Linked DNA regions of Saccharomyces cerevisiae S288C. Changing the gene in region 1 together with any one later gene gives a genetic interaction. Each region holds a gene or a part of one and is shown on either strand. Other genes may lie near its edges. The genes, in order: MEI4 and SPO13.

What was found.
Region 2: of MEI4 (region 1) and SPO13, a mutation in one rescues a mutant of the other (synthetic rescue), as found in Saccharomyces cerevisiae (2 studies listed by BioGRID).

The regions. Positions count from the first base shown.
Region 1 is NC_001137.3:237,706-241,614, forward strand, and holds MEI4 (Mei4p), read right to left. Parts: upstream 2,070-3,909; coding exon 2,007-2,069; intron 1,919-2,006; coding exon 755-1,918; downstream 1-754. Other genes in the region: ERG28 (Erg28p), read right to left, coding at 1-311; ACA1 (Aca1p), read right to left, coding at 2,327-3,796. UniProt on the Saccharomyces cerevisiae protein: Required for meiotic induction of recombination, viable spore production and chromosome synapsis. Component of the MER2-MEI4-REC114 complex which seems to be required for meiotic double-strand break (DSB) formation.
Region 2 is NC_001140.6:130,126-133,755, forward strand, and holds SPO13 (Spo13p), read left to right. Parts: upstream 1-1,921; coding exon 1,922-2,797; downstream 2,798-3,630. Other genes in the region: retromer subunit VPS29, read left to right, coding at 1-323; peptide alpha-N-acetyltransferase complex A subunit ARD1, read right to left, coding at 605-1,321. UniProt on the Saccharomyces cerevisiae protein: Required for meiosis I segmentation. Probably acts as a regulator of kinetochore function during meiosis I: required both for mono-orientation of kinetochores on sister chromosomes and protection of centromeric cohesin from separase-mediated cleavage.

The DNA.
Region 1 (3,909 bases):
AATAGGGCAACCATATAAGACATGAAGACCAATTCGAAAATGTGTGGTTCATTCAAGTACATAGCCCCATAGAATCTGATAACACAGGAAATAAAGGTCCAAGTACCGAAAGTTCTTGCACTCAAATGGGTTGTTTCAGTGGGTTTTCTTTCGTAGACTTTACGTGTCAATTCTAAACCAGAAACGTAAGTCTGGATAGAATTGAAGACTGATACAATGGAAATGAAAAGTAACCATTTTGGTAAGTAACCTTTTGGCATTGCTGCCAAGGTGGTCTTGGTTGTAGTTATTACGTCTTGTAGGCTGAACATTATCTGATACTTTAGTGTATTTGAATCCTTCGATACTATGGTCTAGCTAGTGTCAAGAATATAAAAACCTGAAATTAGTCAATGCGTTTACGTCAAAAATAGTAGCAATAGTAAAGCAAAACAACAGGCTTGTTCAGCTTAGTTTTATATACGGGGGTAGAGAATACAATGGATCGTACCTTTTTTTTTGTTTCCTGTTCGTTCCGTCCCCGAACGAAAAAATCATAAAATAGAAGTTTCCTATCGGTAATACCGTAAAGTTTAATTCAGTTCGTATAAGATTAGGTTAATCATGGGCAAGTCCGGAAGAAGCGTTTTAATGTAGGTCTGTTGGGGAAGATGTTGTGTTCACTGTAATTTTCAACTGAAGTTGTTGTCCCCGAAATGAAAGAGCTTTCGATATTTTTGTGTTTTATAATGCGCCTCCTACTGCAAAAGAAAAATTAAATGTTTTCTGTCTCATTGAACCATCTTGACAATCGAAAGCGCGCTATCAAATTTCTTTCGGCAGTAATTAATAAGGCCGCCTGTATATATTTCCTTTTCTTCTGAAGCGATATTTCATGAGCCGGAAATTTTTCCAGGAAAGGTTTTAAGTGCTGCCATTCAATGCTTTCAAATGTCTCGAGCAATGATAGAATAACTATCTTGAGTATTTTCAATAGACCCCCTAACTCTTTTTCTGGGACACCGCTTATTACACTGTAAAAGTTCTTTAAGTAGGTTTTCTTCAAACTCAATTCTCTTTCGAGGTATACTCGACAGTACGCCTTTTTCCGGTTGATGCATATTAGTTTATGCTTCGATACAAATCTAATAAGTACATGTATCAGACTTTCGATGATGATAAGTATGTGTTCAATTAATTTCAGAACAGATACGTATTTTAATATCTGCGGTTCAAATGTTTGGTTTGTCTTGATTTTGATGAGTTGAATGTTAATAATAGAGTAAATAAGGGTAAAATGCAACGAACACAAGCGCTTGTAGTCAACTTTATCACATAAATGTTTGCCATCTCCCTGGTCGTAAAAGTTTTGAAGCCATTTTGGATCGTTTTGGTTCTTCTTCAATAAAATTCTATTAAACAGAAACTTGGCGATGAAATTGAAAACATGAACGTCTATCAGTGTCCTCTTAAAAGAAGAATCAGAATCTATGCGATGCGAATAATGAGAAACTAACAAGATTTGGAGTGTTTGAAACACTTGCGATAACCCTCTAAAGTCAATTTCTTTTGTTTTTAAGCTCAGGATTTTTAGCAGAATTTTATATCTCGGTAAAAACCAGTTGTTTATATCAGCAGTTGATACATCTTTGCTAAATGATTGCAGCTCCTTTAAACCAACTGCATCTTCGAAGCTTTTGTACTTATTCTGGCAAAGGAAATTGTATATAGGTTCCAGATGAGCAAACAGTGATTTATTATTCAAAAATCCATTTTCGAAAGGCGCAACCCATTTGTATATATGTTTTGAGTTTTCCCGAGGATTTATTTTTAAATTTTTTTCACTCTTGAGAGCACCTACATCTTCGACATCTCCTTTCTTTCTTGAAAGTGCCCTCTTCCACAACGTAGGATTCCTGGATTGAATTAAAGCAAAACACTGTCATAGATAATATTCGAGGAGATTACACCTCTTACTAAAAGTTAGTAAAGAGAAAATAGGTTAAGGATGTGACAATTTCACGTACGATTATCCAGTCAACTTCCGATGTTTCCTTTTGTTCCATATCTTCCAGTTTGCCTCTACTCATGTCCTTACTCTTCTAAAAGATTATTTAATGAAACTGTTTCACAACTACAAGATGTTTGTTATGTTTTCTTTTACAAGTCGGAAACATTTAGCCGCCCAGCAATATATATGACTCCGAAAGAAAATGAAAGGAAATACATACATAGTAAAATAAATCGTTTAAACATAAATAATCGTACAGAGGAAAACATTAAGGAAGGAGAGTCAAACTAATGTACTGGGAATTTGGATCTCCCATAAGAAGTATGCGCAATACTTTTATTCATCATATAGACTGGAGCTGCGTATCATTTCTTCAATCATTTTCAGAAACCCGTTAACATCACTATCCTTGTTTTGAAGGCTTTGATAACTATTATTACCACCATTAATTGTGCATTCTTGCATGTGCAACCTCGAAATTTTCTTCATTTTTTGAACCAATTTTTCGTAATTTTCAATTTTTTTCTTCATCATTGTGTTTTCTTTGCTTATTTGGTCAAATTCCCTTTGAAGTTGTAATTGTGACATTTTCTTTCTCTGTCGACACTTGGAAGCGGCAATTCTGTTTCGTTCTAGTAGCCTTGCACGCTTCCAAGCTTTAGCACCGTCTTTCAAGCCTGCAGTATTGTTCTCTATTTTTTGGGGTCTAGCTTCCTGCTTTATTTGGAAGGTTGCTGTAGTGTGCATAGAGGAGAAGGGCGCGGTATGTACGTCTTTCTCACTATTAATATTGTTTTTCAGTGCAGAAGTGGCATCCTTGTATTGTGGTTTTGAGTTGGCATGTGTTAAATTGACATCAGGGCATTTCGATTCGTATGGAAGGCTGCTTGAAATATTCAACTCGGCATTTTGGCAGGAATTATTAACAGTGTGGTGATTAACGCCATGGGAAATTGAAGAATGGACGGATTGATTTTCGATATTATGATCATTAATGTTTTGGCAGGAAGAAGAAGAGGAAACGGAAGAATTAGAGGCTGGAGTACATGGATGCACATTCAATTGAGCGTTTTTCCATGCCTTAGTTTGCATTTGAGCTTGTAATCGGAGTTGCATGTTGATGTAAGCCTGATTCATTGTGGAATCGCCAGATGGGATAGAAGGCGTGGCAGAAGGAATGTCACAAGTGGCTGCTACTGCGGGTATGTTAAGCTTTATATTGCTATCATACGGGGTCATTGCAGCGTAGATATTCTTGCTACCTGTTTGAGGTGCAGCTTCGGGTATGACTGTAGCTTGTTCGTGTGGTTGTGGCACGTTTTGCAATTCGTTCGAGCTAAAGCTTGGGTATATGGCTGCGCTTGGATTTGCCACCTGTTGAGGATTGGGATTCTGTTGCGCCTTAGACGATAGGATCGGAGGCTGACAGTTGTAAAGATTTTCAACCGTTTCTAAGTCTTCGCCTAATTGACTAATCTGACCATTGGAGATAGATATGCGTCTTTTGTACACGGGCTGATCAAACGCTGGTAAAGAACTTTGAAAAATGGGAGGGTTGGTAATGGGAAGATGGCTGATGTCGACGCCAAAGGGTTGAAACATTGGACCCAGGTTTTCTTGCACGCTACGGTCATGCAAACTGTTTTGGTGATGAAAATTGTAGGCAGAATCCACAAGACCAGGACCCGATGGTTGTTTGTATATAAGCTCCTTGTTTGAAGATAGAAAATCTGTATATAAGAGTGGGTTCTGCCTTCCATCTAGGAAAGAATCTGGACTTGTAGCAAAATTATGCTTATAGTCCATACTTTATTTGGTTCCTTAGTCGTTACCTGGTGTTATTCCAGTACTATTAATATAACTCAGTACAATTAGCTGCCGTGAAAAAAAAAAAATAATAAGAATACAGTTTCTGCGCT
Region 2 (3,630 bases), on another chromosome or scaffold:
CATCAGAGGTGGACAAGCCGACTAAGGAGAATCAGTCGGAGGATGACGATGCCAAGGGTGGATCAACAGGAAAGGAACAACCTGGGTCTTACACGCCTAAAGAAGGCACTGCTGGGGAACGTGAGAATGAGAATGAAAGCAACGTTAAGCCTGAAAACCAATTTAAGGAAGACGAGGTTGATATGTCAGATTCGGATATAAATGGGTCTAATTCACCAAGTTTCTGCCTCTTGGATATTCAAGGCAATACCTGCACGTTATACATTTATTTATACGTTAATGGAGAAGTGAAGGTCGATAAAGTGGTTTATGAAAAGGAATAGGGTAGCCATTTTCATTTTTATGCATTTCTATGATGTCTAAACATTAGATGCATTCGTGAACTTTTTCTTGCAGACGAGATAGATGTAATTAAGATATCCTATCTGCCGGATATTACATATATAAAAAAAGAAAGCTTGCATGCACAGTTTCCTTACTATTCATGCTCACACAATTCTACCGAATTAGCACTGCAGTGTTTAGAACCGTGCTCAAAAAGAGCTAACAGAGCTTGTGAAGAAGCCTGGATGAAAATATACTACGTTTATATAGGTTGATTTAATTATACAATGATATCATTTACGCCTTGCTTAATGATATCCTCTAGTAGATCGCTTTCTAGATCGTCTTCTAGTTTTTCCTCATTCTCTTTCAAACGGCGATGGGTGAAGTTGCTTATCTGCAACTCCTCTAATTTTAAAACCTTCTTCATGGCGTATGCATCTTCACCATCCTGATAGTAGCTTTTCTCGATACTCAACACCTCAAACGCCAATGTGTCCCTGTACAAGTGTAAAGCTGCTCTATTAGATTGTCTCACATGCAAGGAAACATATTCCGCTTGATGAACTTCTCTCAACGCAAATAAAGCTTGTCTCATTAAGTTTTCGGCAATCCCCATCCTTCTATAGGTTCTCATGACACTTAAGGAAGTAATATGACCATTTGGTGGCTCGTTTTGCTGGTCGGGGTCGTCGTTCATCTTCACGAGAACGTATCCAACTAATTTTTCGCCCGGAGCCAAGTATGTTGGATCCAACTTGATTGTCCTGCCGTCATTGGTCCCATCTAAGGTCAATTCCAATTTGTCGTTCTCATCTTGTTCATCACTATCTTCACAGTCCAAAGTGGTGGTAGTAGCAACAAACGAAGCCTCTGGCCACGAGAGAATATGATACATATAATATTTCATCATATAATTTTCGGGTAGGTTATGAAGGTTGGCATTTTGCATACATATAATGTCATTGATTGTCGCTCTGCGAATATTAATAGGCATGGTTGACGAAGTTTTATTTTGGAGCTTGATCGTATGTATTTAGGTTTCCCTTTTCACTTGGCAATTACTCGTTGCTGACAAAAGGTTTCAAACTTTTCAGACGGTGCTTTTTTTTTCTGTTCAAAAAACCAATTGACGCGAGAAAGTGAGGATTGAGCCTAGAGATCAATAAAGACAAATTAGCATTGGATGCAATACTACTAAAGCAAGCGCTTTAAGAGAAAATATTTGTCCTGGAAGTCTCATGGAGATTATACTTTATGAATTCTTTATCTCCGGGCAGAAGGCACTTCAGCGTATCATTTGTTCCATGATATTTTCTGAATAAACTTCAGAATTATAATACACAGTATTTACACATCTAATTTTTGACTACAGTATAATATTCAAGCTTCTTGATTTACCTGCAGTTATGCTTAAATTCACATTTGAATTCTTTAGTATCCGTTTAGCTAGTTAGTACCTTTGCACGGAAATGTATTAATTAGGAGTATATTGAGAAATAGCCGCCGACAAAAAGGAAGTCTCATAAAAGTGTCTAACAGACAATTAGCGCAATAAGAAGAAAGAAAACGGATTGAAGTTGAGTCGAGAATAATTATGGCACCCAGAAAACGCTTTAGGCTACTCGAATTAGGGTCACCAACACATTCTAAAAGGAAAGTTCAAAAACCTCTTCAAGAGAAGACCCCAAACTTGCGAGTTTCTCCACTTGCTTTTAAAATTGGTAAAGAAATCAAGAATAAGGAAATCAGAAAAACAAAAAAAACAGAATCAGAAAATATATTCAATTCGAAACATGTCGATTTAAGACTAGAAAGCCCACATCCAGGATTAAATTTTGTAAGTGATGCTCAACAGTACTCAAAGGCTGGAGATGTTCGATATTTGAAAAATAAATCAAGCAATACCTTGAAAAACGAAAGACAAACAATAGAGCGCCCCTCATTTGATAATTCCTTAAGGTTCGAGGACATTGAGCAGCCTCCAAAATCTACTTCAACGCCGGTTCTTTCTCAATCTTCTCAAATAAATGTAGAAAGAGAAGCACCCATGTTTCCAGTTCCTTACTATATTGCTCCTTCTCCTATGTATAATTTTAGCCCGTATCAAAATTTCGTTGGAAACCCAACGTTCCTGACGCCAAGTCATAACCCAAACCTAAACTATGCCATTCCCATCCAACGGCCGGAGTTGCTTTATCCGAATGTTAACGTATACGATTCGCCATTGTTTAAGAAAACAAGACTGCCCCATCAGACCAAAAGTCTAGATAAAGAAAAAAATTACCAATATCTTCCAATATATCCGGTCTCGATTTCTAATAACGGAGATTTTGTTGGCCAAGAGACACCAAGGGCAGCACCAAAGTTAAGTAAAAAGAGACTTTCAAATACATTGGATGTTAATTGTTCCGATTATGAGTCTAGTGGACAAAATGCAACTTATAATGATAGTGAGTCTTCCCTTAATTAAAAAGATTAGTTTACTTTTTCTGTAGAATGTTAATTAGTTTATTGCATAGAAAATCTTTAATACTGAATGACAAAATTTCCACAATTTTTTTTAAAAAAATTATCGACAACTGCAGGACTCGAACCTGCGCGGGCAAAGCCCAAAAGATTTCTAATCTTTCGCCTTAACCACTCGGCCAAGTTGCCACTTATTATATAAGTCGTAAGCATAATATCAGGATCTTATGCCTTAGTATAAGTCAATTGAAATTGCAATCCTTGTATGTTTTATATTAAATTTTGGGTGAATAATTGGATAATTGTTTGAAATCCATTGTTGAAGAAAGGCTATAATATTCGTACACAGAGTATACTAGAAGTTCTTCTCGAGGGTCTTGGAATCCACAAAAAGGCGTCGATAAATCTCCATAACTATATTACTTTATCCTATTACATTATCAATTCTTGCTTTTAGCTTCTATTGTATTTGATAAAATATTTCGGCTTCTTTTATGTGTATGCGATTGCGTATTACTAAATATAAATTTATATTTCCTGCGACCATTTGTCCGTCAGAAAAGGCTCTCAAAAAAACAACACTACCCTTTTACCGGAAATCACAAACTAAATGTTAAAATAAGAATTTAACATCATCCATTGATTATGAATATTGAGTGAATGATTTAATGATTGTTGCGATTTCCTTGTTGGTGAAGGCTATGATATCAGCTATGCAGAATATACTAGTAGTTATCCACCAGAACATAAGAATCCTCAAAATGTAATTAAAAATCCACTATCGTCTATCAACCAATAATTATACTATCAATATATTATCATATACGGTGTTAGATG